Linked DNA regions of Callithrix jacchus. The protein of the gene in region 1 purifies or fractionates together with the protein of each later gene. This does not show direct contact. Links are inferred from orthologs where the notes say so. Each region holds a gene or a part of one and is shown in the gene's direction. Other genes may lie near its edges. The genes, in order: IFI16, EXOSC6, RBM34, TSR1, TBL3, NVL and GNL2.

The links.
Region 2: the proteins of IFI16 (region 1) and EXOSC6 purify together in Homo sapiens (affinity purification with mass spectrometry; 3 studies listed by BioGRID and IntAct, with this or other methods). This does not show direct contact. The link is inferred for Callithrix jacchus from reciprocal best matches to the Homo sapiens genes IFI16 and EXOSC6.
Region 3: the proteins of IFI16 (region 1) and RBM34 purify together in Homo sapiens (affinity purification with mass spectrometry; 3 studies listed by BioGRID and IntAct, with this or other methods). This does not show direct contact. The link is inferred for Callithrix jacchus from reciprocal best matches to the Homo sapiens genes IFI16 and RBM34.
Region 4: the proteins of IFI16 (region 1) and TSR1 purify together in Homo sapiens (affinity purification with mass spectrometry; 3 studies listed by BioGRID and IntAct, with this or other methods). This does not show direct contact. The link is inferred for Callithrix jacchus from reciprocal best matches to the Homo sapiens genes IFI16 and TSR1.
Region 5: the proteins of IFI16 (region 1) and TBL3 purify together in Homo sapiens (affinity purification with mass spectrometry; 3 studies listed by BioGRID and IntAct, with this or other methods). This does not show direct contact. The link is inferred for Callithrix jacchus from reciprocal best matches to the Homo sapiens genes IFI16 and TBL3.
Region 6: the proteins of IFI16 (region 1) and NVL purify together in Homo sapiens (affinity purification with mass spectrometry; 3 studies listed by BioGRID and IntAct, with this or other methods). This does not show direct contact. The link is inferred for Callithrix jacchus from reciprocal best matches to the Homo sapiens genes IFI16 and NVL.
Region 7: the proteins of IFI16 (region 1) and GNL2 purify together in Homo sapiens (affinity purification with mass spectrometry; 3 studies listed by BioGRID and IntAct, with this or other methods). This does not show direct contact. The link is inferred for Callithrix jacchus from reciprocal best matches to the Homo sapiens genes IFI16 and GNL2.

What each region holds. Positions count from the first base shown.
Region 1 is NC_133519.1:19,004,393-19,008,592, forward strand, and holds the start of IFI16 (gamma-interferon-inducible protein 16), read left to right. Parts: upstream 1-1,314; 5' UTR 1,315-1,549; intron 1,550-4,200.
Region 2 is NC_133521.1:31,651,486-31,655,819, forward strand, and holds EXOSC6 (exosome complex component MTR3), read left to right. Parts: upstream 1-1,422; 5' UTR 1,423-1,467; coding exon 1,468-2,283; 3' UTR 2,284-3,946; downstream 3,947-4,334. Other genes in the region: AARS1 (alanine--tRNA ligase, cytoplasmic), read left to right, coding at 46-159, 495-680. UniProt on the Homo sapiens protein: Non-catalytic component of the RNA exosome complex which has 3'->5' exoribonuclease activity and participates in a multitude of cellular RNA processing and degradation events.
Region 3 is NC_133520.1:50,097,307-50,101,357, forward strand, and holds the end of RBM34 (RNA-binding protein 34), read left to right. Parts: intron 1-3,144; coding exon 3,145-3,426; 3' UTR 3,427-3,485; downstream 3,486-4,051.
Region 4 is NC_133506.1:65,920,968-65,924,632, forward strand, and holds part of TSR1 (pre-rRNA-processing protein TSR1 homolog), read left to right. Parts: intron 1-496; coding exon 497-656; intron 657-1,092; coding exon 1,093-1,250; intron 1,251-1,511; coding exon 1,512-1,705; intron 1,706-2,798; coding exon 2,799-2,961; intron 2,962-3,665. UniProt on the Homo sapiens protein: Required during maturation of the 40S ribosomal subunit in the nucleolus.
Region 5 is NC_133513.1:4,777,196-4,781,541, reverse strand, and holds the start of TBL3 (transducin beta-like protein 3), read left to right. Parts: upstream 1-1,506; 5' UTR 1,507-3,331; coding exon 3,332-3,658; intron 3,659-4,346. Other genes in the region: RNF151 (RING finger protein 151), read left to right, coding at 116-212, 1,099-1,506. UniProt on the Homo sapiens protein: Part of the small subunit (SSU) processome, first precursor of the small eukaryotic ribosomal subunit.
Region 6 is NC_133520.1:4,649,813-4,653,907, forward strand, and holds the start of NVL (nuclear valosin-containing protein-like), read left to right. Parts: upstream 1-1,252; 5' UTR 1,253-1,274; coding exon 1,275-1,331; intron 1,332-4,095. UniProt on the Homo sapiens protein: Participates in the assembly of the telomerase holoenzyme and effecting of telomerase activity via its interaction with TERT. Involved in both early and late stages of the pre-rRNA processing pathways.
Region 7 is NC_133508.1:74,142,624-74,146,734, reverse strand, and holds the start of GNL2 (nucleolar GTP-binding protein 2), read left to right. Parts: upstream 1-1,177; 5' UTR 1,178-1,291; coding exon 1,292-1,355; intron 1,356-2,901; coding exon 2,902-2,986; intron 2,987-3,938; coding exon 3,939-4,033; intron 4,034-4,111. UniProt on the Homo sapiens protein: GTPase that associates with pre-60S ribosomal subunits in the nucleolus and is required for their nuclear export and maturation.

The sequences.
Region 1 (4,200 bases):
TCTCCTTTCCATCATGGCCACATCCTGCTTGCAGATCTGCTGCTGGGTTAACACAACATCATCTGCTAGATGATGCCATTTTTTTTTTTTTTTGAGACGGAGTTTCGCTCTTGTTACCCAGGATGGAGTGCAATGGCGCGATCTCAGCTCACCACAACCTCCGCCTCCTGGGTTCAGGCAATTCTCCTGCCTCAGCCTCCAGAGTAGCTGGGATTACAGGCACGCATCACCACACCCAGCTAAATTTTTTTGTATTTTTAGTAGAGACGGGGTTTCACCATGTTGACCAGGATGGTCTTGATCTCTTGACCTTGTGATCCACCCACCTCGGCCTCCCAAAGTGCTGGGATTATAAGCTTGAGCCACCGTGCCCGGAGATGATGCCGTTTATTTGACATCCTGGGGTTACAGCACTCTAAAGAGCACCCGCTGCCCTTTACAGAGAAAAACACATTGCTGAGCAAAGGATTAAACAGGCTCCCTTTGCTACCAGAAGTTCAGTGCATTTTCCAGGATTTTCAAGGCTTCATTGCTGTCAAGGTCTGAGCCCTACTATCCTCTTGTGTTTACCCATGAATAATGCAGAAAACATGAGTAATCATAAATCTAATCATTGAGGTAAAGTAACCTAGTCATAGGCAAAAGGACAGCTAGTGTTAAACTCCTTTATATAAATTTGAGCAACAATTTACATATTCATAACGACTTCCTGATCTGGAAAGCCCCAGGTGTGTCAACTATTAACAATTAGATGAATACTTCAGGTAATATTTAAACAAATAGCAATTTTATACCAGACATTTCCCCATCCAGGAGATGCAGTAAAGCACTGGTAGTGATAGTCACTTCTACCAAGATCTCCTCCTACCACTGCCACTCTGCACAGGAAAGGAGGGAGAAGCCACCTGCTTCGCTTATATCTGAGCATCATTTAAGGGAATATAGGTCCCTAAGGACCCACATGTAAGTCTGCTGGGTAAGAAAGTTCTAATGTTGAAACTCTTTTCAGCTGTTAAATTTTCTTAAAAAAAATACATATATATATATATATATATACTGATTTATTTGTATTTATATACATTTATGAGATACAAATGCAATTCTGTCAGAGCTTTTAGCGTACACAGCACGGGAAAAATGTTCATTGTACCCATGAAAGTAATTTCTCATCCCCCATTTGCTCTAACCACACACTTCAGCCCTCTTCAAAAGGAAACTGTTCCTTTTCTCTGACTAACAGAAACGAAACCTAAAAACAGTAGTGGGAGGAGTTTCCATGTTGTTTCCTAACTCCATTTTCTCTGGGGCAATAGCAGAGCAGCAGAGAGCCGGCACTAGTCAGATTACTCAGCGACTTAACCAAGGCCCTTTTTTCTTGTTATCTTTGCAAATACTTCATTTTCTTAGCATTTCAGGAAATTACAACATCCTGCAGTTCTGTTTCTGGGACCTTTACTGATTTATCTCCTCGCTTGAACAAAATAAGCATTGATTCCCGCATTTCTGAAAATCTCAAGATCTGGACCACTGTTGAAAAATTTCCAGTGAGGTGAGTACTGTTGCTAGTTTTGTAAATAAGGTCTTGTTACTTCTTTGAAGTCCCCAGAGTCGCAAGGGGACAATCAGTATCGGTTATTCAGGGTCATGGAGGATGGGAATAGGGTTGGGTTTTCAGAAAAGTGAAAACTGAGTTGCTTGATATAAATCCTTCACTTACTTAGGAAGATAACAGGCTTCTTTTATGCCACCACAACTGAGGACTGAACAAGAGAAAATGCATTTTGACCACTGTAGATTTTTTTTTTTTTTTTTAAGATGGGGGTTTCACCATGATGGCCAGGCTGGTCTTGAACTCCTGACCTCAGGTGATTCACCCACCTCCGCCCTCCAAAATGCTAGGATTACAGGAGTGAGCCACGGCGCCTGGCCAACCATTGCAGATTTTTTTTTTTTTTTTTTTTGGACACGGAGTTTCGCTCTTGTTACCCAGGCTGGAGTGCAATGGCGCGATCTCGGCTCACCACAACCTCCGCCTCCTGGGTTCAGGCAATTCTCCTGCCTCAGCCTCCTGAGTAGCTGGGATTACAGGCACGTGCCACCATGCCCAGCTAATTTTGTGTATTTTTAGTTGAGACGGGGTTTCACCATGTTGACCAGGATGGTCTCAATCTCTTGACCTCGTGATCCACCCACCTCGGCCTCCCAAAGTGATGGGATTACAGGCTTGAGCCACTGTGCCCGGCCACCATTGCAGATTTTAAAACTAATTTTCTGAGTATGTATTGGCATTCAATGATATTTAGAAGAAGGTTTTGGTTATTTTTACCAGAGGAAGTGTTGGAAACTCAGTAGCTGTGGTGGGTTCTCAAGATAGTGACATGAAAAAAGTATCACGAAAGAATATTAAGTAAAAAACACATCTGAGCATAGAGCTGTATTATGTGATATCATCCCAATTTAAAAAAACATGAGAGCAAATGTACACATACAGTGGAAAACTTTTTCCAGTTTCAGTTATTCAGGTATGTGGTGTCTTCATATTTTCATAAGTATGTTGATCTTCTATGTTTTTCCTTGTAGTCCTCTCACAATCATATATATTAGGTGTATGTATAATATATATTCACACACGTATATTATATGTATATATAATCATTTATACAAACGTGTACGCACATAGAAATATATGTGTATAGTGGAATGTGACATTTTAAAATGCTGATTTCAGAATTTTATGTATTATTAGATAAATGTTTACTATGTTCAAACATATCATTACAGATTTCATATATGTGTGTGTAGTTATGTCGGTGCATGTGCGTGTATATAAAGAGAAATATATACTAATAATTATAGTACCACGAAGCACTATAAAATAATAATATCATTAGATAAATTAGATGCATTTATTTTATTATTTTTTCTTTTTTTCTCACAATAATGCTTTGTAGCAAAATTAGATAAATTTATAACTAAAACTTATAATTTCCTAGTTGAACCTTTTATCATTATAAGGTATCTGAAGTTACCTTTGGGCTTAAGGTATATTTAAATTTACACAAGCATAAACTTGCTTTCTTTAGTGATTCTTTGCAAGATAATTTTTAGCAATTTTTTTCATCTTTTGTTAACATGTATTTATATTTCTTAAGTCAAATTTGACGAAAGTTGTCACTTAACAGATCAGACCTTTTAGGTGTATGCTGGTAATTAACAATCTGCTATCTTCTATTTATGACACTTCTATATTATCTCACTATCTAAGACAATTACTTTAGTGACTTGCCCTGTTCTTTTTCTACCCTCCCTTTACCATGCTGTTAGAATTTCTGTTTCTCTTCTCTTTGATCAGGGCTTTCTTTTTAAGATATTAGGAACACCTAAAGTTTATTTTTTACTTTTCCTATCTTTTGGCTGACAGCATTTTAAATTTTATTTATTGTTTTCTTATTAAATATTATTTTCAATAGATTTTTTTGTGTGGTATGAGGCTTTGTCTTGCAAAAAGACTAAGGCCCTGAGTATCAGATAATAGTTTTTTTTCGTTTGTTTGTTTGCTTTGAGACGGAGTTTCGCTGTTGTTACCCAGACTGGAGTGCAATGGCACAATCTCGGCTCACCACGACCTCCGCCTTCTGGGTTCAAGCAATTCTCCTGCCTCAGCCTCCTGAGTAGCTGGGACTGCAGGCACGTGCCACCACGCCTGGCTAATTTTTTGTATTTTTAGTAGAGATGGGGGTTTCACTGTTCAGCCAGATGGTCTGGATCTCCGGACCTCGTGATCCGCCCACCTCAGCCTCCCAAAGTGCTGGGATTACAGGTGTGAGCTACCATGCCTGCCCCAATTAATAGCCCCAGAAATTTAAATATCTTGGTTATACAAAAGGTACACAAAGACATCATTCCTAAAATTAAAACATTCATTAACTTAAAAAGAAACTGGAATCCATACCATGCACTTAGTGTCATCACGGAAGTGCACAGATGTTAAAAGGTCAAGAGGAGTGACACTCTGTCCATAAGAGGATTCTAAAATCTACCCGGAGACACAAAGCCACAATTGAGCCTTAAGTTTGTATGGGAAGTAGTCAAAGAAATGTGGGAATGGCTTTCCAGGCAATAAGAAGGAACTAGCAAAGTCGTTAGGCACGAAGATGTAAGTAAGGTGTGCTGTATCTTTGTGGAGCATAGATACAAGGA
Region 2 (4,334 bases), on another chromosome or scaffold:
TGCTCCAGCACCGTGGCCTGAGCCAGCTCTTCCCACCCCCCGCAGGCCCTGAATGAAGCTTTGAAGCTCTTCAAGATGCACTCCCCTCAGACGTCTGCCATGCTCTTCACTGTGGATAATGAGGCTGGCAAAATCACGTGCCTGTGTCAAGTCCCCCAGGTCAGAACTGCCTACGACCTTTCACACCAGGGGGGCAGTGTAGGTCTTAAGCTTATTCCTGAGGCCTGTGTGTTCACAATCGGCATTTGAAACTAGACACCTGTTGCCCTTTACCCCGGCCTTCTCATTGGTGAAGATGTCTGGTTGATACTTGGCTTTGCCACTCTGTCCTTTCCTGGCTGTGGCTATGACTTCCCCCTTTACCAGCTGTTAAGCGTGTCTCGGCTGCCAGCATCACCACCCTGGGCAGGAGTGGGGGATGGCTCCTGCATTTCTTTTCCTCCATTCCTCATTTATCTTGTGTCCTAACTCCCCCTTCCCTTCTTTTCTTCCAGAATGCAGCCAATAGGGGCCTAAAAGCCAGCGAGTGGGTGCAGCAGGTATCAGGCCTGATGGATGGTAAGGGTGGTGGCAAGGATGTGTCTGCGCAGGCCACAGGCAAGAACGTTGGCTGCCTGCAGGAGGCGCTGCAGCTGGCCACTTCCTTTGCCCAGCTGCACCTCGGGGATGTGAAGAACTGAGGTGGGGAAGGAGGAGTTTGGCACTGGATCCATAGGTCCAGCCAGGAGTTCCTCCTCTGCTCTAAGAACATTAGAATCTTGGGACCTTTAAAGAGCTCCCACCATCTTCCTAACCCCACGGTAACTGGAAGAGGTCCTGTGACCCAGTATTCCTTATATGTCTGCCCTGAGTACCCCAGCATTGCTGTTGTGCATCGATAGGCATCTGGAGCGGACAGCTCTCCAGACCTGAGCTGTCTGGGTTAGCAAATGGGAATCATTTTCGCTGCAGAGAATAAAGGACCATGTGCAATAATTGACGCCGCAGGATCTCTACCCATTCCCAATGGGGGCGCGCCGTTTCCACAGCCTGTGGCCCCTGCTGTCTAGAATAAATGCTGTGACTCCTGCTGGCTGCTGCTGTATTCACTGTCTAGCCCCAGAACTCTGAATTTTGGGAGTAGCCCCTGTGGTTGCCTCAACCGTTTGTGGCGATGGAAGCCAAATAGGTGACATAGAGGGAGGTGTTCATAATTCAACAGAAAATGAGGGGTGGAAGCAGAGAAGCCTCTTTCTTCTAACTGCCGCCCCCCGCCCCCGTTGTATGTATGAACGCCACATGCCCTGCACTAGCGGCACCAAGGCTTTGAGGACGCCGGCCGTTCTCCCTCCAGGCCTTCAGAGGGCGCTATAGCGAAGCCGGCTGCTCCCCGACATCCTTCGCGCAGGCGCGCATCTTTAAGCAGCGGAAGAGCTGGTGTGCGTGGTGGAGCAGCGGCCGGAAGCAGGTCGCACGCCAGGCGCCGTGATGCCTGGGGACCACCGCCGTATACGCGGCCCGGAGGAATCACAGCCGCCGCAGCTGTACGCGGCCGACGAAGAGGATGCGCCCGCCGCTCGCGACCCGACGCGGCTGCGACCCGTGTACGCTCGCGCGGGGTTGCTGAGCCAAGCCAAGGGCTCAGCCTACCTGGAGGCAGGAGGCACCAAGGTGTTGTGCGCGGTGTCGGGCCCGCGCCAGGCCGAGGGCGGCGAGCGCGGGGGCGGCCCGGCCGGAGCGGGTGGCGAGGCCCCGGCCGCGCTGCGTGGTCGACTGCTCTGCGATTTCCGCCGCGCCCCCTTCGCGGGGCGCCGGCGCCGCGCTCCCCAGGGCGGCGGTGAGGAGCGTGAGCTGGCGCTGGCGCTGCAGGAGGCGCTGGAGCCAGCGGTGCGCCTGGGCCGATACCCGCGTGCACAGCTCGAGGTGTCTGCGCTGCTGCTGGAGGACGGGGGCTCAGCCCTGGCCGCCGCGCTCACCGCCGCTGCGCTCGCCCTGGCCGATGCGGGCGTGGAGATGTACGACCTGGTGGTGGGCTGCGGCCTGAGCCTCGCTCCGGGGCCCGCGTCCACCTGGCTACTGGACCCCACGCGGCTCGAGGAGGAGCGCGCCGCCGCCGGTCTCACTGTGGCACTCATGCCCGTCCTGAATCAGGTGGCTGGGCTGCTGGGTAGCGGGGAGGGTGGCCTGACCGAGAGCTGGGCGGAGGCCGTACGCCTTGGCCTCGAGGGCTGCCAGCGCCTCTATCCAGTGTTGCAGCAGTGCCTGGTGCGGGCTGCCCGTCGCAGGGGCGCCGCCCCGCCCTGAACAACGACGGACGCCACGCCGAGACCCGTGCCGTGGGCCTCGAGCCTGCATCGAGATATGCAGCAGGAGCCCCGGAGAGCACCTGGAGAGGCTGAAACAGAGCCGAGGCGCCAGACAGCTGTGGTGGTGGAAGGGCTTTTTACAAACCTCATTAAAGGAACTTTCCTCCTTTAGCCGGCTCTCAGCTGCGACCCAGTTGAGAACACCTGTGAGCGCAGCCTGACTTCCAGGCTGGAAACTTGGAACTTACCTGGAAGCTGGTATCTGGGAACTGTAGTCATTTAAGGGATAGATCCTTTGCACCGCCAGCCAGAGACTCCCTCTGACGTAACTGGGCGACTTTTGAGAGGTTGGACAAGAGGCTGTGCCTTCTCACCGTGTCTGAGCCAAAAGAAAAACACTTCTATATCTGAAAAGCGTCTTCTGTTGTGATTCTTCTTGGTCCAGGATTTTAGAGAGCACGGCTTCTTTGTTCTTACATCCCAGGTGGCAAGGGGCCGTGACCGCGGTGCCTTTAACCGGTCCCGTTCCTTAGACCAACTTGAACGGGACAGATAGGCTGCAAAGAACAGCTGCAGGACTGGATGTGGGCCCTGTGCTTTATAGAAGGAGAAGCTGCCCCCACACGAACCAGAGACAGGACAGCTGCTGAGATATGACAAAAGTAGGAAGAGTTGTATGGCCCCAGCGGCGCGCTGAGTGCACCCCAGCCCCCCACCCTGGTTTGGTACTGGGCAAGACCCAACTCGGCTGGGTAGCTGGAATGGGTTTTGCTCTGGGTGGAAGCCAGATCTGTCCTTGGCCATGTGGAGAACGGCACAACCAGAGGCCTCCACAGCCGGTGGGAAGTGGTGTCCTGGGCCGTCTTCACGTGGTGCCTTGGTCCTAGGAGGAAAACCCTGAGCAACGCCCAGAGAGGGCAGGTGAACTGCCAGGAAAGCCAGGTACGGCTTGGCTGCTCCATAGGGCAGAACCGGCCTGACTCACCACGAGGGTGGGGTCTTTCCTGTGTGGCTCCCAGATCTGCTGGTCTGGTCTCAAGGCTGCTCTGGACGCAGCCAGGTGACTGCCATTGAGAAGGCAGGGCAGCCTGGTCCGGTCTCTGCACTCGGCTTCTCGGGGAAGGGCCGGTGCCGGGCAGCCCAAGGACCAGAATGAGTTTCTGGAGCCACACCAAGAAGCCTTGACCAGGAAAAAGATTTATGAATTTTATTTTTTCCCTTTTGACTTACCTTTCCAGAGCAGGTCTGAAATGGTATCACACCAGTGGAGACAGCTCATGTTATTCTGAAGGATGGCTTTGGAGAGTGGATGACGAGTCTGGAGCCCCAAGAGGGTGGTGTGGGGTGTACGCCGAGGACCTTCCGGCTGTTTCGGGCAGGGAGGGAGACTGGGATCCCAGGGAAATCTGTTGGCTGTTGGTGCATCCAGAGGGGAGTGAAGAGCAGCTGTGGCCGTGTCTGCACTCAGGACTGAGGATTGCCCCTGAGTGCTGGGGTGGGGTGGGGGTGGGCTGTCAGCTGTCCCTTGGAAGACAGCCTCAGCTTCATGAGGATGGCGACCTGGTACAGTCCCAGGCTACCTCCCTCCTAACGCTGTCAGTCCCATGGCTGTCATCGTGAAATGTAACCTCCTAAGAAGCTAAACCTGCTGCAACAGTGAACCTTCCGCTTTTCTGGCCAAGCCCTGTGTTCTCTTCTATTGACCCAGCTCCAGAACGGGTATCTCAGGTTGCATGGGTGCTACCAGGAGGCCTTCACAACCTAGGCAAGGCAAGGACCTACCCCAGAACGCCCGGAGCTGATGAGCCTGGAGGAGATCCTGCTTCCTCTTGGCTGTCCTGGTCCTATGCGTGGTCCTCCACCTGTAGGGAAAGTAGAAGCAGGACGTTAGTGGAGGGGCAGGAGGCATGGGCTAGGAAAGGAGGGGCCCACAGCACCTAGTCTTTCTGCACCCACTTTCCATTTCCCCAGAGCTTTGGCACCTCAGATCTAGGAACTCAGAACCACCAGGCAAAAGAAAGCATTTTTTCTACATGGAGATGTGCCCAT
Region 3 (4,051 bases), on another chromosome or scaffold:
AAAACTGGGCTGGGCACAGTGACTCACGCCTGTAATCCCAGCACCTTGGGAGGTTGAGACAGGTGGATCTCTTGAACTCAGAAGTTGGAGAGCAGCCTGGCCCACATGGTAAAATCTCATCTCTACTAAAAATACAAAAGTTATTCGTGTGTGGTGGCAGGTGCTTATAATCCCAGCTACTCAGGAGGCTGAGTCAGGAGAATCACTTGAACCTAGGAGTGGAGGTTGCCGTGAGCTGAGATCGCACCACTGCACTCCAGCCTGGGCCACAGAGCAAGACTTTGTCTCAAAACAAAATGAAAACAAGAAAACTGAATTTATAACCTGCCATAATATATTGCTATAACTGCACCTACCCAAAAGATGTCCTAGTTCTTTCTTTTTTTTTTTGAGACGGAGTTTCGCTCTTGTTACCCAGGCTGGAGTGCAATGGCGCGATCTCGGCTCACCGCAACCTCCGCCTCCTGGGTTCAGGCAATTCTCCTGCCTCAGCCTCCCGAGTAGCTGGGATTACAGGCACGTGCCACCATGCCCAGCTAATTTTTTGTATTTTTAGTAGAGACGGGGTTTCACCATGTTGACCAGGATAGTCTCGATCTTGACCTCGTGATCCACCTGCCTCGGCCTCCCAAAGTGCTGGGATTACAGGCTTGAGCCACCACGCCCGGCCAGTTCTTTCTTTATACTAGTTAAATGTTTCAGATATTGGATATTAGAAGGACTAAATCATTAAATCTCATCCACCTTCTCTACAATAGAGTAAATAATTGACATTCAGGTATAAGAAAGTTTTATTCTTTGTACAAAATTAGTAATATTTAGTTCATTAATTTTTTTTAATGGATGAGAGGTTTATATGTTGCCCATGCTGGCCTTGAACGCCTGACCTCACCTCTTTGCGCACCAGGACAACTGGCCTGAGCCACCGCGACTCCGTAGTTCATTAATTTTTAACCAGTGTTTCATGCCTGACAATATTAAATAGTAAAAGAATATACAGGTCGTGCATGTTGACTTGTGACTGTAATCCCAGCACTTTGGGAGGGCTGAAACAAGAGGATTGATTAAGGCGGGGACTTTAAGACCAGCGTGAGCAACATAGGTAGACACCATCTCTACAAAAAAAATACATAAGTAAGGCTGGGTCAGTGGCTCACGCCTGTAATCCCAGCACTTTGGGAGGCCAAGGCAGTTAGATCACTTGAGTCCAGGAGTTCAAGACTAGCCTGGGCAATGTGGTGAAAGCCCACCTCTACAAAAAAAAAAAAAAAAAAAAACAGAAATCAGCCGGGCATGGTGATGCATGCCTGTAGTACCAGTTCCTTGCAGGGCTGAGGCAGGAGGATCACCTGAGCCTTGGGAAGTCGAGGCTGCAGTGAGCCATCCAACCTGGATGGCAGAGTGAGACCGTGTCAATAAATAAATAATTGGTCACGGTGGCCAGCACCTGTGGTCCTATCTACTCAGGAGGCTGAGGCTGGACGATTGCTTAAGATTGCACCACTGCACTCCAGCCGAAGTGACAGAGTGAGACCCTATCTCAAAACAAGAAAGAACCTGTTGTCATCCCTTGGTTTCCACGGCGTATTGCTTCTAGGATCCCTGTCACGTAGCAAACAATGTATATATCTGCAGATGCTCAAGTCCCTTATATAAAATGGCATATTCACACAAATATATTGTTTTATATATATATAAAATATTTTTAAATTGTTGTATTATTTGTTTTCAAGTATTTTCCATTTGTGATTGGTTGAATCGTCTGATACTGAACTCATGGATTTGGGGACCTTACTGTACATACTTTGGGATGTCATAAATTTTTCTTCCCTCAGTAACAACCCATTAGTACATTTCCTTTCAGTTTTTCCTTGTGCTGCCATTTTTATAGTTGAACTTCTCTCTGTAAATATAAAATTGTGTTTACGTCCTATTTTATGTTATTTTCTTTTGGGTAAGCATGTTCCATTGAGTGATGTAACAGAATCTATACTGTCATTTCTCTCGTGTTGGACCATGGTAGAATTCTCTGTTTTTCCCTGTAATCATGAAATTGCAGTGGTTACATGTTTTTTTGTTTTTGAAACAGTCTCACTCTGTTGCCAAGGCCAGAGTGCTGTGGCTCACTGCAGCCTCTGCCTCCCAGACTCTAGCAATCTTCCCATCGCAGTTTCCCGAGTAGCTAGGACTACAGGTGTGTGCCACCATGCCTGGCTAATTTTTGTATTTTTTTGTAGAGACAGGATTTCGCCATGTTTCTCAGGCTGGTCTTAAACTCTGAGTGAGCGCAAGCAATCTATCCACCTTGGCCTCCCAAAGTGCTAGGATTATAGGTGTGAGCCACCCTGCTTGGCCTGCGTATGTTTTTCTCCCCAGAGTTTGCTTGAATTATAGATTACTTCTTTAAGATCGATCCCCAGTAGGATATTACTAGATTAAAATGTGTTACCATTTTGAAAAGTTGAGAAATGGTGAGAATTGCCTGGTAGCTTTTTTAGAAAGATTGTCACAGCTTTTGTTGCCATTGTTACTATCTTGTAGTTACCTTACTGCTTCTCTGCTCCCTGTCTTCTATTACTTGATAAGCTTCTAAAGCCCTTTAACAAACATCTCATGGATATTCAGGGTTGTAAGCATTAATGGCTCTATATTAGAATAGAAATACATTACTTGGAATATTCTAGGAAAAAAAAAAAAAGAATAGAAGTATAACAGAATTTTGAATCTAAATGGAACCCTAGAGCGTATCGAGTCCAACATCTCAGGTACTGTAAAGAAGAGTTCCCTGCCCTCTGGCCACCTAATGCAGTGGGGCTTTGACAGAAAGATAGCTGTGAGAAGGAGGTTTATTGGTTTAAAATATTGTATGTGACTTAGAACCTTATTTTAGAATGAAAAAATGAAGTGTATAACATTGTGACTTAGCTGAACATTTCACAAGGCAGTGTGAGTGCTTCGTGGGGAAACTGGGGGGGAGCACGGTGGGAGACTTGGAGCATGGTAGCTTATACACCTGGGATTGGATGGGGATTATCTGTGCAAACTTGAAAGTCATTCTTATCAGTTAAAGTCACACTTCACTGGTTTCTTTGCAGAGGGGTTTCTGGTAGAAATTAATGTATTTCGTTTTCTTTTTATTCACAGAATACAGATTCTGTTCATCTTGCTCTGAAATTAAATAATTCTGAACTAATGGGAAGAAAACTCAGAGTCATGCGTTCTGTTAATAAAGAAAAATTAAAACAAAATTCAAATCCACAATTGAAGAATGTCAGTAAACCTAAGCAGGGACTTAATTTTACTTCTAAAAATGCAGAAGGACATTCTAAAAGCTTATTTATTGGAGAGAAAGCTGTTCTCGTTAAAAAGAAGAAGAAAGGACAGAAGAAAAGTAGATGCACTAAGAAACAGAGGAGACAGAAATAACCAGCAGCTGCTTTTTCTTTTCCTGCTGAGTTGCTAATAAAAGTGCTATTATCTTCTAATCACGTGTTGAGTTGTATAATTTTTTACGGATGGTATATACAAAATGTGGAGACTTCCACATTCTCAGTTTATTCACATTGTAATACTACCTTTACCTTTGAAGGTTTATCTTTTTTTTTTTTTTTTTTTTTTTTTTTTGAGACAGAGTTGTGCTCTTGTTGCCCAGGCTGGAGTGCAGTGGTATGATCTCAGGTCACGGCAACCTCTGCCTCCCAAGTTCAAGCGCTTCTCCTGCCTCAGCCTGCTGAGTAGCTGGGATTACAGGCACCTGCTACCACGTTCAGCTAATTTTTTGTATTTTTAGTAGAGACGGGGTTTTACCACATTGGCCAGGCTGGTCCGGAACTCCTGACGTCAGGTGATCCACCTACCTTGGTCCCTCAAGGTGTTGGGATTGCAAGCATGAGCCACCACATCTGGGCCTCCCTTTTCTTTCTTGTGCCTATTAAACCTCTGCTCTTAACCTTACTCCACATGTGCCTGTGTCCTTGATTTCCTTGGCATGAGGAAACAAACCTTGGGTATTACCCCAAATGATGTTGCTTCAGTATCTCACTTTGTTGCC
Region 4 (3,665 bases), on another chromosome or scaffold:
ACAGAATAAGAAAGACCTCAAGAGCCAAGCAGAGTTAAAATACCCTGGAAATGGCCGGATGTTTGACTCACATCTGTAATCTCAACACTTTGGGAAGCTGAGCCAGGTGGATCACCTGAGGTCAGGAGTTTGAGACCAGCCTGGTCAACATGGAGAAGCACTGTCTCTACTAAAAATACAAAATTAGCTGGGTGTGGTAGCGCATGCCTGTAATCCGGCTGAGGCAGGAGAATCGCTTGAACCCGGAAGGCGGAGGTTGCAGTGACCCATCGCACTCCAGCTTGAACAAGAGAAAAACACTGTCTCCGGAAAAAAAAAAAAAAAAAAACCCTGGAAATTAGAAAATGGTCATTTGAAAAATTTTGACAAGTTTTGGCATTCTGTTGCATTCATCTTCTACATGAGGACCGGTATTTCTGGGTCTTTCTGGTTATTCTGTTTGATTTGGGAGATTTTTGGTTAATGGTTGACTATCACCTGCTTTTTTGGTTTTCAGATTTGTGCTACGGATACTGTAGATGATATGGAAGAAGACCTTAAGGTCCTAATGAAGGCAGACCCTGATAGACAGGAATCCTTGCAAACAGAGGTTATCCCAGATCCAATGGAGGGGGAGCAAACCTGGCCCACTGAGGAGGAGATGAGTGAGGCAAAGGGTTGGTATTGGTAAACTTGTTTGTAATTCATCTGACCTGGAATTGTGGATTTCCTCTAGCTCTTCAGAGTGAGAACCATATGGGATAGAGTGGGATAGGGATATATTTGAAAGTCTCTCCTCATCCTCAAATGTTATATGTTTTCACTAAACAAACATTAGACACAGCTTTGTTCCATTTCTCAAAATAACTTGTGTTAATGTTTTATCATGAACAGATAAACAACTTTGGATTCATTGCAGGGCTTATTTAGCTGTGTAAGTATTGCTAGTTGTGAGGCAACGGAATTAAATTTAGAAGTAGTTAGTTCTGCTTATGGTGTCTGCTGGAATTTCCCATGTTGGCAGCAGCGTCTAGTGCCTTGCCTGGGTGAGAATAACCAGAGGGATAGGGAAAGGATAGCTATAATTTACTTAATTTGTTTGGGCTTTTACAGATTTCTTGAAGGAAAGTTCTAAGGTGGTAAAGAAGGTCCCCAAAGGAACATCCAGTTACCAAGCTGAATGGATTTTGGATAGTGGCAGCCAAAGTGATGGGGAAGGAGATGAATATGATGATATGGAACATGAGGATTTTATGGAAGAAGAATCTCAGGTAAGGAAATGAGGCCTTAGGCCATTTCTGTGTCTAGCTTCAAACATAAAGCAAAGTGCAATTGTAATCTTGAGGGGTGTGTATGTTTAGTTTCTTAGGAATGACTCTAGTTGCCAGGAATGAGGCTTTTGTTTTCTGCTTTAGGCCGTATTAGAATCTATGTTAGTTGGGAATAGGTATCCAATACAATTATTTTACTCTTAGCTTATTGGCCTTTAGGGTGTGGATTTCTTCTGAAATAAATAATCCTTTATTCTACAGGATGAGAGTAGTGAAGAAGAAGAGGAAGAATATGAAACTATGACTATAGGGGAGTCTGTGCATGATGATCTGTATGATAAGAAAGTAGATGAAGAAGCTGAGGCAAAAAAGTTGGAGAAATATAAACAAGAAAGACTGGAAGAGATGTTTCCGGATGAGGTGGACACCCCCCGTGATGTGGCTGCTAGAATTCGGTTAGTCAGTAAATCTAAATTAAGTCAATAGGTTTTAAAAACTTGGCTCAGAGCTATGTCACTGTGATACAAAAGAAGAAAAACACATTTTTCCTGCTCCTGAAGAGCTAACATTTAATATGGGAAGGCAAGACATACATACATACATACATACAGGAAATGGTAATATATAATCAAGTTCTAGACTGTGGTACAGACTACTATTACAGGACTTTAATGAAGGAGAAATACTAAGGTTAATTAGCAAATACTTCTTCCCAAAGGAGCCAATACTCAATTGAAGTATATAATGTTTGGAGATTTTAGGGGGTTTGGGTAGAATAGCAGAAGTAGAAGAGTGAAGATGTAGATGATTATATCTATTCTGGAGGTGAGTGACTAAAGCCAGTGAATTAATCTTGGATATTAAGGAGATAAGGCTGTGTATTAAGCCATTCTCGCACTGCTATGAAGAAGTACCAGAGACTGCGTAATTTATAAAGAAAAGAGATTTAATTGGCTCATGGTTTTGCAGGCTGTACAGGAAGCATAGTGCTGGCATCTGTTCAGCTTTTGGGGCAGCCTGAAAAAAACTTACAATCATGGCAGAAGGCAGAAGGGGAGCAAGTTATGTCACATGGCCAGAGTAGGAACAAGAGACTGAGGCAGGATGTGCTAACACTTCTAAACAACCAGATCTCATGAGAACGCACTCACCAACGGGGATGGTGCTAAGCCATTCATGAGAAAACCTCTCTCATAATCCAGTCACCTCCCACCAGGCTCCACCTCCAACATTGGAGATTGTATTTCAATATGAGATTTGGGCACGGACACACATCTGAACTATACCAGGTCATTACCAAACATCTTTTTTGTCAGGGAGCCACTATAAATCCTTTGTCTTTTGTCAGTGGGAAGCTTGGGTTTGGTTCTGATACAACTTGTTACAAGTTGTTTTGCAGTGTGGTCTTGGTTTAAGCTGATAGTTTATTTTGAGAGATAGTGATTGGAGTTCTTTTGAGCTAGATCCTTAGCCATTTTAGCAGTGACTTGAGTCTATATAGCACCATGTAAATCTGACTTAATTTTTATAAAATCTTCAATATTCTAGATTTCAGAAATACAGAGGCCTCAAGAGCTTCCGGACATCTCCATGGGATCCTAAGGAAAACCTTCCTCAAGAGTATGCTCGGATATTTCAGTTTCAGAACTTTACTAATAGCAGGAAAAGCATCTTTAAGGAGATTGAAGAAAAAGAGGTTGAAGGAGCTGAGGTATCTGCCCTTGTCCATCTTGTATGTTGCTTTCATTTGTCAACATGCTCCCACTTTACTCCTTCTCTTGGCATGGAAATATGCTGCGTTGGGAAATTAGGGGAGCCCCTGAGTCATCGACAAGAATGATACTGGAAACAGCCCAGGTGTAGTGGCTCACCTGTAATCCCAACACTTTGGGAGGCCGGGGTGGGCAGGCCACCTGAGGTCAGGAGTTCGAGAGCAGCCTGGCCAACATGGAGAAACCCCATCTCTGCTGAAAATACAAAATTAGCTGGGTGTGGTGGTGCATGACTGTAATCCCAGCCACTTGGGAGGCCGAGGCAGGAGAATTGCTTGAACCCAGGACGGGGAGTTTGCAGTGAACAGAGATCATGCCATTGCACTCCTGCCTGGGCGACAGTGAGACTCCATCTCAAAAAAAACAAAACAAAACAAAAAAAAAAACAAAACAAAACAGGCCGGGCGCGGTGGCTCACGCCTGTAATCCCAGCACTTTGGGAGGCTGAGGCCCATGGATCATGAGGTCAAGAGATCAAGACCATCCTGGTCAACATGGTGAAACCCCGTCTCTACTAAAAACACAAAAAAATTAGTTGGGCATGGTGGCGCGTGCCTGTAATCCCAGCTACTCGGGAGGCTGAGGCAGGAGAATTGCCTGAACCCAGGAGGCGGAGGTTGCGGTGAGCCGAGATCATGCCATT
Region 5 (4,346 bases), on another chromosome or scaffold:
AAGCCGTGATGCCTCCTCCGGCTGATGAAGGGACCACCCGGGTCATGGAGTGAAGGGCTGACCAGGGTTCCCTTCCCATTCCCAACACTCACCCCCAACTCATGCTTCCTTCCAGACAAAAGACCTGTCCGTGCTGCAGGAAACAGGTGAAAAAGAGAAAGATCGTCTACGAGAATAAACTCCGGAAAACCATCAGCCGCCTGGAAGTCAAGGTAGCTCAAAAAACCCACTCCCCCAACCCTTTACCCTCCTCACCCTTGTAGGGGTGGGGCAGGGCCAGTACAGGGGGCAAGGAGAAGTCCCATCTTCGGAGAGAAATGAGTGCCATCTTGGGTGGTCAGACACGGCTGAGTTTGAACTGTGGCTCTACCGCTTAGTTCTGTGTGACTTTAAGCAAGTCACTTACCCTTTCTAATCCCCTGGCATCTCAGCTGTAAAATGCAGATTATAAAGGATTTTTAGAGGATGAAATGCCTGGTGTGCCGGCCACTACTCTCTAGCCCACTAGTTTTACAGATGGGTAAACTGAGGTTAAAAAGGAAAACCTGAGATGGGCATGGGTGGCTCATGCCTGTAATCCCAGCATTTTGGGAGGCCAAGGCAGGTGGATCACGAGTTCAAGACTAGTCTCGACAACATGGTGAAACCCTGTTTCTCCTCACACAATACAAAAATTAGGCATGGTGGCACACGCCTGTAATCCCAGCTACTTCAAAGTCTGAGGCAGAAGAATCGCTTGAACCTGAGAGGTTGCAGTGAGCCGAGATCATGCCACTGCACTCCAGCCTGGGCAACAAAATGGGACTCCATCTCTGTCAGGGGTCAGGGGGAAGCCTGGCATCCATACCACTCACCAGACCAACCCAGCTGTGGACCTTCCAGTTCCCCAAGCGTCAGGCCTCATCCCCTCCCCTGGCATGTCTGCCTTCTTCCCAAGTCCATGCATTTGGCCCGTGTTCTCTCTCCACCACCTCACTGGAGTTAGCAAAGTATGGGAGGCTCCCGGGTCCCTGGTTCCTGGTGAGTGGAAAGCCAGGGACGGGGATTCCGTGAGTGTCCCACCTGGGTTGCTTCACACGTGTGCTCCTTCACCCTCAGTGCAAGAACGCCGACGCTGGCTGCATGGTGACATGCCCCCTGGCCCATCGCAAAGGGCACCAGGATTCGTGCCCCTTCGAGCCAATGGCCTGCCCCAACGAAGGCTGCACCTCGCGGGTCCCTCGTGGGACCCTGGCCGAGCACCAGAAGCTTTGCCAGCAAAGGAACCAGCAGCGCTGCCCCCTGGGCTGTGGGGCCACCCTGGACCCAACCAAGCGTGCTCACCACAACTGCTACCGGGAGCTGCACGACGCCTGGAGCGCCCGCCAGGAGCGCAGTCAGACCATGCTGCTGTGCCTGCTGAGGCGCGTGCGCCAGCTGCACCGGGCCACCCGCATTGTCCGCCGAGAGCTGGCGGAGCTGGGCAACTTCCTGGAGGGCACACCACAGGAGGAGGCCGAGGCCTAGGCTGCCCCGGAAGGCAGCGTCTGGGCTGAGGTACGGGGTGCTCAGGGCCAGAGTATCTTGTAAATAAATAAACGCAGAGCCCCGCACAGCTGTCACCTGTGCGTCCCTGTTGGCCTTTCCAGGCATGACTCCCTTCCTCCCAGGGATACTCCACGGGCTTTCTCCAAGGGCTCTGTGTTCCGTCACACCATGGGGCTTGGCCTGGCGACTCCCCCTGCCTGGAGAGCTCTTCCCTTCGCCTCCATTTGCCTGCGTTCATCTTTTTTGTTGTTTTTCTTTTTTGTTTGTTTTTTTGCCTGGAATGTTTTGTTTTGTTTTGTTTTGTTTTGATTTGGAGTCTCTGTTGCCACGCTGAAGTGCAATGGCGTGATCTCGGCTCACTGTAACCTCCGCCTCCTGGGTTCAAGCAATTCTTCTGCCTCAGCCACCGGAGTAGCTGGGACAACAGGCGCGTGCCACCATGTCCAGCTAATTTTTCTATTTTTAGTAGAGACGGGGTTTCACCATGTTGGCCAGGATGGTCTCGATCTCTTGACCTCATGTTCCACCCACCTCAGCCTCCTAAAGTGCTGGGACTACAGGCTGGGATTTTAAAGTCGGGGGCCGGGCACAGTGGCTCACCCTGTAATCCAGCAGTTTGGGAGGCAGAGGCAACCAACCTGACCAACATGGCGAAACCACTTCTCTACTGAAAATACAAAACTGAGCTGGGCATGGTGGCACAAGCCTGTAGTCCCAGTTACTCAGGAGGCTGAGGCAGGAGAACTTCTTGAACCCAGGAGGCAGAGGTTGCAGTGAACCAAGATTGAGCCACTTCACTCCAGCCTGGGCAACAAGAGTGAGACTTCATCTCAAAAAATAAAATAAAGGGAATACAAGAATGTATTTTCTTCTTGTTTTCTTTTTTGGGTCCGGGTCTTGCTCTAGCGCCCAGGCTGGAGTGCGGTGCCGTGATCATGGCTCACTGCAGCCTCAACCTCCCTGGGCTCAAGTAATCCTCCCACCTCAGCCTCCTGAGTAGCTGGGACTACAGGCGCACACCACCACTGCTGAATAATTTTTGTGTTTGGTGTAGAGATGAGGTCTCACCGTGTTATCCAGGCTGATCTCAAACTCCTGGGCTGAAGTAATCCTCCTGCCTCTGCTCCCCAAAGTGTTGGGATTAGAGGTGTGAGCCGCCACGCTGGCCTGCTTTACTTCACTTAAGTGTTTTTTTTTTTTTTTTTTGAGACGGAGTTTCGCTCTTGTTGTGACCCAGGCTGGAGTGCAACGGCGTGATCTCGGCTCACCACAACCTCCGCCTCCTGGGTTCAGGCAATTCTCCTGCCTCAGCCTCCTGAGTAGCTGGGATTACAGGCACGCGCCATCATGCCCAGCTAATTTTTTTTGTATTTTTAGTAGAGACGGGGTTTCACCACGTTGACCAGGATGGTCTTGATCTCTTGACCTCGTGATCCACCCGCCTCGGCCTCCCAAAGTGCTGGGATTACAGGCGTGAGCCACCGCGCCCGGCCTCTCCTGTGTCATTTATCATGAGCCACACTGCGAGCCCCGAGGCAGGGTCAGGTTCACCGCTCTAGGCTTGGACCTCACCCGACTCCTGCTGCCTCAATTTCCGGAACGCCGAAGGGCAGGAGTAAACGAATGCCTTTTTATACTGCTATCAAAAGGCCAGGCTGGCCAGGCGCGGTAGCTCTCGCCAGCACTTTGGGAGGACAAGGCGGGAGGATCACCTGAGGTTGGGAGTTCAAGGCCATCCCGGCCAACATGGTAAAACCCGTCTTTAAAAAAAAAACAAAAAAAAAAAACAGGCCAGGCTACGGCGATGCCACCCACGCTAGTTTCCCGCATCCGCCCGCGCAGCACCGTCACGGCTCACAGCCCACCCTCCAGGCCGGAAACACCTCCGCCCGCTTCCACTTCCGGATACAGCCGCCATAACCTGCAGCAGAAATGGCGACAAGCGCGCGGCGCCGGTGACGTCACAGGCGTCGCGCGTGGTGACGCCATCTCAGCGCGCCGGGAGTGCGGAGCTCCGTGCCAACCTCCCTCCTCACGCGGTGGAGGCTGCCGGGGTTCTAGCCGGTTTCGGCGGGAGCGGCGGCCGCAACATGGCAGAGACCGCGGCCGGAGTGGGCCGCTTCAAGGCCAAGTGAGCTCGGAGCGCTGGGGCCACGCGGGGAGGGAGCCGGGTTCGCAGCAGGCGTGGCGGAGACGCGCGTGGAGTGGGCGTCCATTGGGGTCTGGGAGGGGAGGGGGTACGTGTGCGCCGGCCCGCGGGGTCGCGGAGGCTGCGATGATACTAGGTGGGAGAGCAGGCTCCGACTGCCCTCGGGGAGGACGGGGACCTAAGCCCGGGCGCAGCAGCCTGGGCTCAACGAGAAGCCGGCTGTGGGGTGAAGTGGGGACCAGAAGTCCGGGTGAGGGCAGGGGAGGGCTGAGCGTAGGTCGGGGCTGGTCCCGGCAAACGGCGGAGACGAAGAACCACCTCTAAGCACTCGGCCTGGGGACTCACCACCCTCGAACCCTTTTCTCCAGGGAGCGGGGAGACAGCAGGGGAGGGCAGGTCTGCCGAAGCCCAGGAGGGCCTCAGTCCTGTGCCCTGTCACTCCCAGGTGACCTCAGGGGTGCCCCCGCCGTGGCAGCGCAGTCGCATGGGATTATCATTTCCATCGGCGGCTGTGGGGCTTTGGTTGTGCCGAGCACTGGTAAAGGAAAGCCCCTGGCTGGCAGCACCGCCGTGGGAGGGTCGACTGGGTTCAGGGGCTGAGGGGTTGCTTTCGTCTTGGCAGTCAAGCTTCCAGAAGCGCACTGAGCCAGGCCCTGACCTCTGGGAAGGG
Region 6 (4,095 bases), on another chromosome or scaffold:
CGTTTACTCGGGAGTGTGAGGCAGAACAGCTCGAACCCAGTAGGCAGAGGTTGCAATGAGCCAAGATCGCACCACTGCACTCCAGCCTGGGTGATGGTGTTAGACTCTGTCTCAAAAAAAATAAATAAAATAAAAATTAAAGAGTATAGCGAAGAAGTAGGAAATGAAGTTGCAGCCAAAGGGACCAATAGTTTGAGTGGGAAATCTAATACTTAATTCAGTGCTTATTTTTGTATTTTTAGTAGAGACGACGTTTCACCATGTTTGCCAGGATGGTCACGAACTCCTGACCTCAAGAGATCCGCCCACCTCGGCCTCCCAAAGTGCTGGGATTACAAGTATGAGCCACCTTACCCAGCTTCACACCCTTAATTCCATTTTCTCTCCTCCGTCTGCCCCTGAATACACTGCGCTTAACCTTGTCATAAGCAAAATAGGACCTGAAATAAGAATACTCAAAACACGATGGAAATGAAGAAAACAGAAACTAGAGCTTGCAACTTAAAAAAAAAAATGCTTGGTAACTATCCCTTTGTGTCTCCCTAACTGCAGGATAAACTCACCTGGAACAAACAGAAACGTTTAATAAAATTCTGGGCCAAGGAGTCTTGCACTGGATATATTCAACAAATTAGCTGCTCGTAACAGCGTAGGTCAAACGAATTCTAAAAGTAACAGATGACTTAGTTATCTGGATAAATCCGTCCTTCCTTTCCTTACTCACCTAGCTCTTTCGTGGGGCCCCAAAAATGTAACTATGTGGGAAAGCAAGCAGAGGCTGGTGGTGTGTTTGTATCCTAATTGTATTACTCCAACTATCTACTGTCGCGGGTTTTGCCAAGACTAGCTTTGTATTGGAATGAAGTGTGGCTGGAAAGCCTGAGGAAAGCAAACCAAGTTTACCAGCGGACGTAGCTGACAGCTTCCCCGCCCGCCGCGCCGGGGTAGGAACCTTCTCCAGCCTGGTTCGCCCGGCGGGGAACCAATAAGGTTGAGCGCGTTCAAAGGGGGCCTAAACGTCCAAGGCCCACTGGGCATGCCTGAAAAATAAGGCCCCTAGAAACTCCCTGATGTGTTCAAGTCTTTTCCCGCTCCTCGGAATTTTTCCCTCTCATTCGCATTACTTTTTTTTCTGATGGAAACGGCGCGGGCTAGGACCCAGGAGGGGCGCATTTCAGGTCCTACTGACCCGGCATTCGCGCCGGGCAACCCCTACGAGGCCCCCGGTTCACTGGGAGCAGGCGATCGGAGCAGTGGCTCGGGAGAGCGACGCGATGAAGCCCAGACGTGCAGGGTTCGTGGATAATAAACTCAAGCAGCGAGTCATCCAGGTGTGTATTCTGCACCGCTCGGCCTCGCCATGGGCCCCGATTGCTGCCCCAGGGTACCACTGCCCTTTTATCTGGCGGCGTCCGCGTGGAACTCAACTAGTTTCCTTGCCCCAGTCTGGGTCTGGGCGTGCGTCTGTTCTTGAGTTGGTGGTGCCGGGGCCTTCCTTACCCACGTGGGTGCGGAGTCACAAGGAGCAGCCAGGGACGGTGGGAGGGTGCAGCTTGGTGGGGCTGCCCAGGTTGTCTCGTCGTCTTCAGCGCTGATCATTCAGGAGAGTGGAGTTAGCCTTTGAATTTTAACCTCTTTGGCTTGTGAAGTTAGTACAGGAATGGTCTTCCAACGCTCTCATTGTAAGAGGTCCTTGAGAAGGGGTGGCATAAGTAATACGAAAAATTTCCGTTCTCAAGGAACTTAAACACTAAAACGTGGTAACATGGGTCTGGCAACTGTAACAGGCACCTTGCCTATGGTTTTCTCATTTTAATGACATCAGTAAAAAGCAGTGTGTGGCAAATACCTTAGAATGTAACCAAGAAGTCTAAGTTAAAAGATAGGAGAGATTTTTGTTCACTTTGTAATTTGTGAGCTACACATTCTACTTTTTTTTTTTTTATTCACCTGCCCCCAAACAATCTTCTTTTCGGACCCATCTTTTTCTACCAACTTGTAAATGTTGGAAGTGCTCTGAGCTACTGTTCTTTTATCTCCTCTTCCTCCTCTTTCCTCATACACCGCCCTTGTCTATCCATACTTCCTATGTGATCTCATTCAGTCTAATAACCTTTGAATAGTATCTACATATTATTGATATATTTATTTCATTTTATTTTTATTTTTCCGAGACACAATCTCGTTCTGTTGCCTAGGCTAGAGTGCAGTGGTTGTTTATGGGCACAATCATAGCTCACTGCACCCTCGATTTCCCAGACTGAAGTGATCCTCCCTCCTCAGCCTCCACAGCAGCTGGGACTACAGGTGTGCACCACCATACCTGGCTAATATATTATTATTATTTGTAGAGATGGGTTTCCAGTACATTACTCGGGCTGATCTTGAACTCCTGGGTTCAAGTAATCAGGCCTGAGCCTTCCAAAGTGCTGGGATTACAGGTGCAAGCCACTGCACTGGCCTCCATATATTTATGACCCCTAAATTTATATCTCCAATCCAGATTTTATCTTGAATTACAGATTAACATATCCAGCTGCCTAGGCAGCGTGCGTATCTCCAAATTAAAATGGCCAAGTGGAACTTGTGATTTTCTTAGTGTTCTGTATCTTGTTAAATGATACTACCATTCATCCAGTTGGTAAGGCCAAAAACCTTAAGGATCATTCTGAGTCTTTCTTTCATTTCCTGTATACCATCCATCAACAGCCTGATTGGCTTTACTTTCAAATTATATTCCAAATACTTCTTACTGTCTTTGCCTCTAACCCTTAGTCCAAACTATCATCTCCACCTTAGACTATTGCAATAGCCTCCTAACTGATCTCTCTGATTCTGCTTTTACCTAAAGCCTATTACCCACAAAGCGGCCAGAAACACCTTTTTTCATTTCTCACTGCAACCTCTGGCTCCTGGGTTCAAGTGATTGTCTTGCCTCAGCCTCCCAAGTAGGTGGGATTACAAATGCATGTCATCACACCTGGCTAATTTTTGTATTTTTAGTAAAGACAGAGTTTCACCATGTTGGCTAGGCTGGTCTCGAACTCCTGACCTCAGGTGATCAATTCCCCTTGGCCTCCCAAAATGCTGGGATTACAAGTGTGAGCCACCATGCATAGCCAAGACATCCTTTTAAAGGGAAAAATCAGGCTAGGGGAGAGGTAGCATTAGGAGAAATACCCAAAGTAGATGACGGGTTGATGGGTGCAGCAAACCATCATGGCACATGTATACCTATGTTACATGTTCTACACATGTATTCCATAACTTAAAGTATAATAAAAATAAAAAAGGGAAAAATTGGAGCTTGCCGTAGCTCTGCTCAAAACCTTTCAGTGGAGTCACAGACATCCAGAGTAACACCGGTCTAAAAAGCCCTGCATATTCTGGCCTCTGTTGTCCTAGTTTACTTTTCCTCTCCTGTCCTAACCACACAGACCTTCTCAAACATGCCAAGCACAGGACCTTCGTTCTCGTTCATTCACTCTGAATTACTCTTCCTCTGATGTTCCTGCGTCCCACAACTTCCTCCTTCAGTTTATTCAGTTTTCGGAGCAGTGACTCCTAATTACTGGGTCTGGTGGCCCCTTCTCTGTCCTTACACTTGACTGCTTTTCAGCATTTGACATTGTCAGTGTTCCTCTATAGCTTTCACTTTGGTTCATTATAAAAGTACAGATTTAATATCCCTTATTCTAAGTGCTTAAGACCAAAAAATGTTTCAGATTTTGGAATGTTTACATATACGTAATGAAATATCTGGGGACGGGACCCAAGTTAAACATGAAATTTATTTATGTTTCATATTCACCTTATACACGTAGCCTAAAGATAATCTTATACAATATTTTAAATAGGTTTTCACTTAGCTATACATTTAATTTAATTTTTTATTTTTGAGTCCAGGTTTTCCTCTGTCATCCAGGCTGGAGTGCAGTGTTGTGACACTGCTCGCTACCACCTCAAACTCCTGGGGTCAACAGATTTTCCCACCTCAGCCTCCCATGTAGCTGGTACCACAGGTGTATACCACCATGTCTGTCTAATTTTTACATTTTTTGTGGAAATGATATCTTACCATCTTTCCCAGGCTGG
Region 7 (4,111 bases), on another chromosome or scaffold:
TAGACAAATTAGGGAAGAGTTCTCCCAGTACCAAGATTCACCAGATAAAATGCAGGACATATGGTTACATTTGAATTTCAGGCAAATGATGAACTCTTTTTTACTAGAAGTATTTTCCAGGCACTATTGGAAGCATAATTTTTAAAAAGTATTCATTTTTTTCTCTGAAATTGAAATTTAATTTGGTGTCCTGTATTTCTATTTGCTAACTCTTGCAAGCCTACTAATAGGTAATATTTGAGCTGAGAATTGAATGACCAGCTATGCAAAGATTCTGGGAAAGAGTGATTCAGACAGAGAGTATATCCATTTGTAGGCCAGTGCGGTGGCTCATGCCTGTAATCCCAGCACACTGGGAGGCCGAGGCAGGAAGATCACCTGAGGTTAGGAGTTCGAGACCAGACTGGTCAACATGGTGAAACCCTGTCTCTACTAAAAATACAAAAATTAGCCGGGCATGGTGGTGGGCACCTGTAATCCCAGCTACTCAGGAGGCTGGGGCATGAAAATGGCTTGAACCTGAGAGGTGGAGGTTGTAGTGAGCCGAGATCATGCGACTGCAATCCAGCCTGGACAACAGAGTTAGGCTGCGCCTCAAAAAAAAAAAGAGAGAGAGAGAGAGAGAGAGAGAGAGAGAGAGAGAGAATATCCAGTGCAAATGTCAAAATAACCAGAGGGAGGGAGGTACACATGAGGTCAAATAGGCAAGGGCGAGATCACAGAATCCTGCGGAGACGGCAAAGTTTGAATCAATCTCTGTCTCTGTTTCTCCCTTCTCCCTTCCCCTACCCCTCATTCTAACAGTCATGATAAGCCATTGGAGTTGTAAGGAAGAGGATGACATGTTCTAACGGGTATTTGGCTGCCGTGCGGTCGGCAACTTTTGGAAGGACTTAGACAAATTCAGAAGACAAATTTAAGCTTGTGCCATTGGCCTGGGAAGAGGCTTCTTTATTTGGAGGTGGACCCAACTGGGAGCTCTGTGCCTCGCATCCAGGGTAACTAGGCGGTTGCTATGGAGGGGCAGCTTGGCGGTTGCTAGGGCTGGAAAGGTTTGGGGCTCGGCGCAGGGCGCAGAGCGGGGGCGGAGCCAGGAATAAGGTGGTGCGCGCCGCGCGTTTACCGGAAGCCGCGCAGAGTCAGAGAGGGGCGCGAGCGGAAGTGACGGTGGTCATGCACACGTGGTCCGGCGTGGTTCACGCGGGTCACTTTGGCCGGGCCTGGGAACTTCTTAGTTCGTTTGACCGACGTAAGCCGGACCTAGGTCTCGGGTCCCGTTCTCGTCGCCAAGATGGTGAAGCCCAAATACAAAGGACGGAGCACCATCAACCCGTCTAAGGCCAGCACAAACCCGGGTACAGGCGGCAGGGGTGATCGAGGGTGGAGCTTGGAGGGAAGTGTAGGGGAGTGCTCCGAGGAGGACTGGAGGGGCAGGAGGGGCACTTGCTTAAAACTACCACAAGCGGAGTGGCTGTTGGGTATGAAAAGGAAAGCAGTATTTGTGGTGGTTTCTTCCCGGGGGGCACTGAGGAGGGCTGACACTGCACGCCTGGCAAGCCAAAGTGTAGTCAACTGGTCTGAAGTCAAGGAAAGTGAACATTCAGGCTTTGGCAGCCTTGGGTCCTCTCCAGTTCAGAGATGCAGAGAAAGTCAGATTTAAAATGGTGTAGGTTGACCCATCGGGTCTTTTACACGTAATCATACTTGCCTGCCACCTTAGCTTTGACCTTTAAAATGAGAAAGGGATTGTAGTCTTGGCCCTTGGAATCATTCTATCTGGCAAAGTTCTTAGAAAACCCTGCAAAGAAATCAATATGATCATTGCAGTAAGGCTGTTTTGGAGATGTGTGTACGTTTTGGCGAGGTTCCACCTGTAGAATGAACAAGACGCCCTGTGGGAGAGTTCCTTCCATTCAGGTTTAGTTAATAAAACTTTCTTTTAAAATATGGTTTAGAATTTTTGACAGTTTTAATACGTGTTGAATGTTTACCCTGGATTGATCATAAATTATTCACTTTGCACAAACTGGATCTCAGGATGTTAGACCCCAAAAGACCCCTAGAGTCATGATTTTACAGGAAGTGGCTTGTCATAATTGCAACAGTTAGTAGTCCTAGAGCCACCAGTCTCTACTATTAAATTACCTGCCTGGTCCTGAAGTGATGTAGAAAGCAGGTTTCAGCCTGCCGTCTGCATCACTTCAGGACCAGGCAGGTGATTTAAAGGGCTCCCAAAATGAGAAGCTAGGCTAGTATTACCCTGCTCTTTTGTCCTTCTCTTTGATATGTAAGGCAAGAATTGCTACGTTGATGAAACAAAAATCAAACATTAAGAAATTAAGAAACTGACTAAGAACACATACATATCAAAATCATAGTCTCCATGGTGCTTGCATGGAGCAGGCACTCAATATTTGTTAAACTGAGACACAGAGGTAGGTGTCTTCGTGGTTAAGACCATAAATAGTGATCAAATGCTTGTGTTCAAATTCTGGCTCTGCCATTTAGTAACTGACCTTGGGCAAGGTGTCTGACCACTGTGCCTCAGTTTCTCACTCTGCAGCATGGGGATAATGTATCTCTATGAAATTATTGTATGGATTAAATGAGATGATGCCTATAATGTGGATCTTACAGTCATCATAAGTGCTAAAAAATATTAGCTTTTTTTCTTCTCAGGTACAATCCTATCAAAGATCAAAGATTGGATCAGCTTTGTCATACCATGTAGCTTCAAGTTATAATTATTGGAGCAACATATCAAGAAAATAGAGATTTTTATGTTTGGTGGCTGGCTGCTAACCTGCTTTGAGTGAACTACTTGTTGCGTTTTAAGCAATGACTTGTTGGTTATACTGGTTGGTTATCAGATAGTGCACTGTGTACTTCCGCCTTTTGTAGATCGAGTGCAGGGAGCAGGAGGCCAAAACATGAGGGACCGGGCCACCATCCGGCGCCTGAATATGTATAGGCAAAAGGAGCGCAGGTGAGCATTGGGTGCTATCATCCTTTCCCTTTTCCTTCATGCCCTTGACCGCTAGCAGAGATTGATTAAGCCTTTGCTGTTCTTACTCCAACTTCCTCCAAATAGGAATTATGTATTTTCAAATGTAATTTTATATGAATGTTGATATGTTAAATTGTTAATTTTTGCTTAAGGGCATGATAGCTGGTGTTGAAACAGTGGTTGTTTCACAATACTCAAAGTAGAGGTCTTGTTTCTCACAGCCCTGGCCTCCGCAAATGGTGCATTGAATCTGAGTTAAACATGGCCAGATAAAACAAAGCCTATAGGACTATCGTTAGGAAAGCTGCCAGAAAACTTGTTTTTAATGCCAAAATGAAGATCACAACATTGCGGCACATGAACACTCATCATAACTCTGAGTTCTGCTGACGTAGCCTCTACCACAGGGATTTGCTGAGTGTGGCGTTCTGCTAGCTGGTCTTACTTTGTTTGGTAATTAGATTCTCCATCTCTGTCTGTTCTAAAAGATGGGACTAAAATACAAATGTCAATGGACTTAATATGCATTAGTCACCTACTTTGCAGTTTGTTTTAGAATTTGGAATTCCAGCGTAAATCACCCTCTATTTAAAAAATTTATTTAAACCAGCCTTCAAATAATTACCCAAAAGACTCAAGTTTGTGCCTTTTTTTTTAAAAAGTAAACCAACTGTAAACAGATGTTTTAAAACGTCACCATTATTGTTATTCATCTAGCAGAAGTCATTATGTGCTCTGTTGCAAGAGGTTAAATGGCTTTTGGGCAATCTGTTTCAAATGTAGAAGTACTTTGTGTTCACTGGAATCTGTATTTCATGATCATTTAAAACCAAAGTAAGAAGTCCTTTTGCCGGAAGTATATTCTGCGGATCAAACTTTGCCGTTGCCGCTCTTGTGTTGTCAATCAAAATCTGTTATTTCTTCAACATAGGAACAATCGTGGTAAAATAATTAAACCCCTGCAGTATCAATCAACGGTGGCTTCTGGCACAGTGGCAAGAGTAGAGCCAAACATTAAATGGTTTGGTGAGTATTATCCCCTGTTACTTTCCTGTACAAAATGTATGCTGAGTGGAAAAGGCTAGGATGTTTAAATATCTAAAC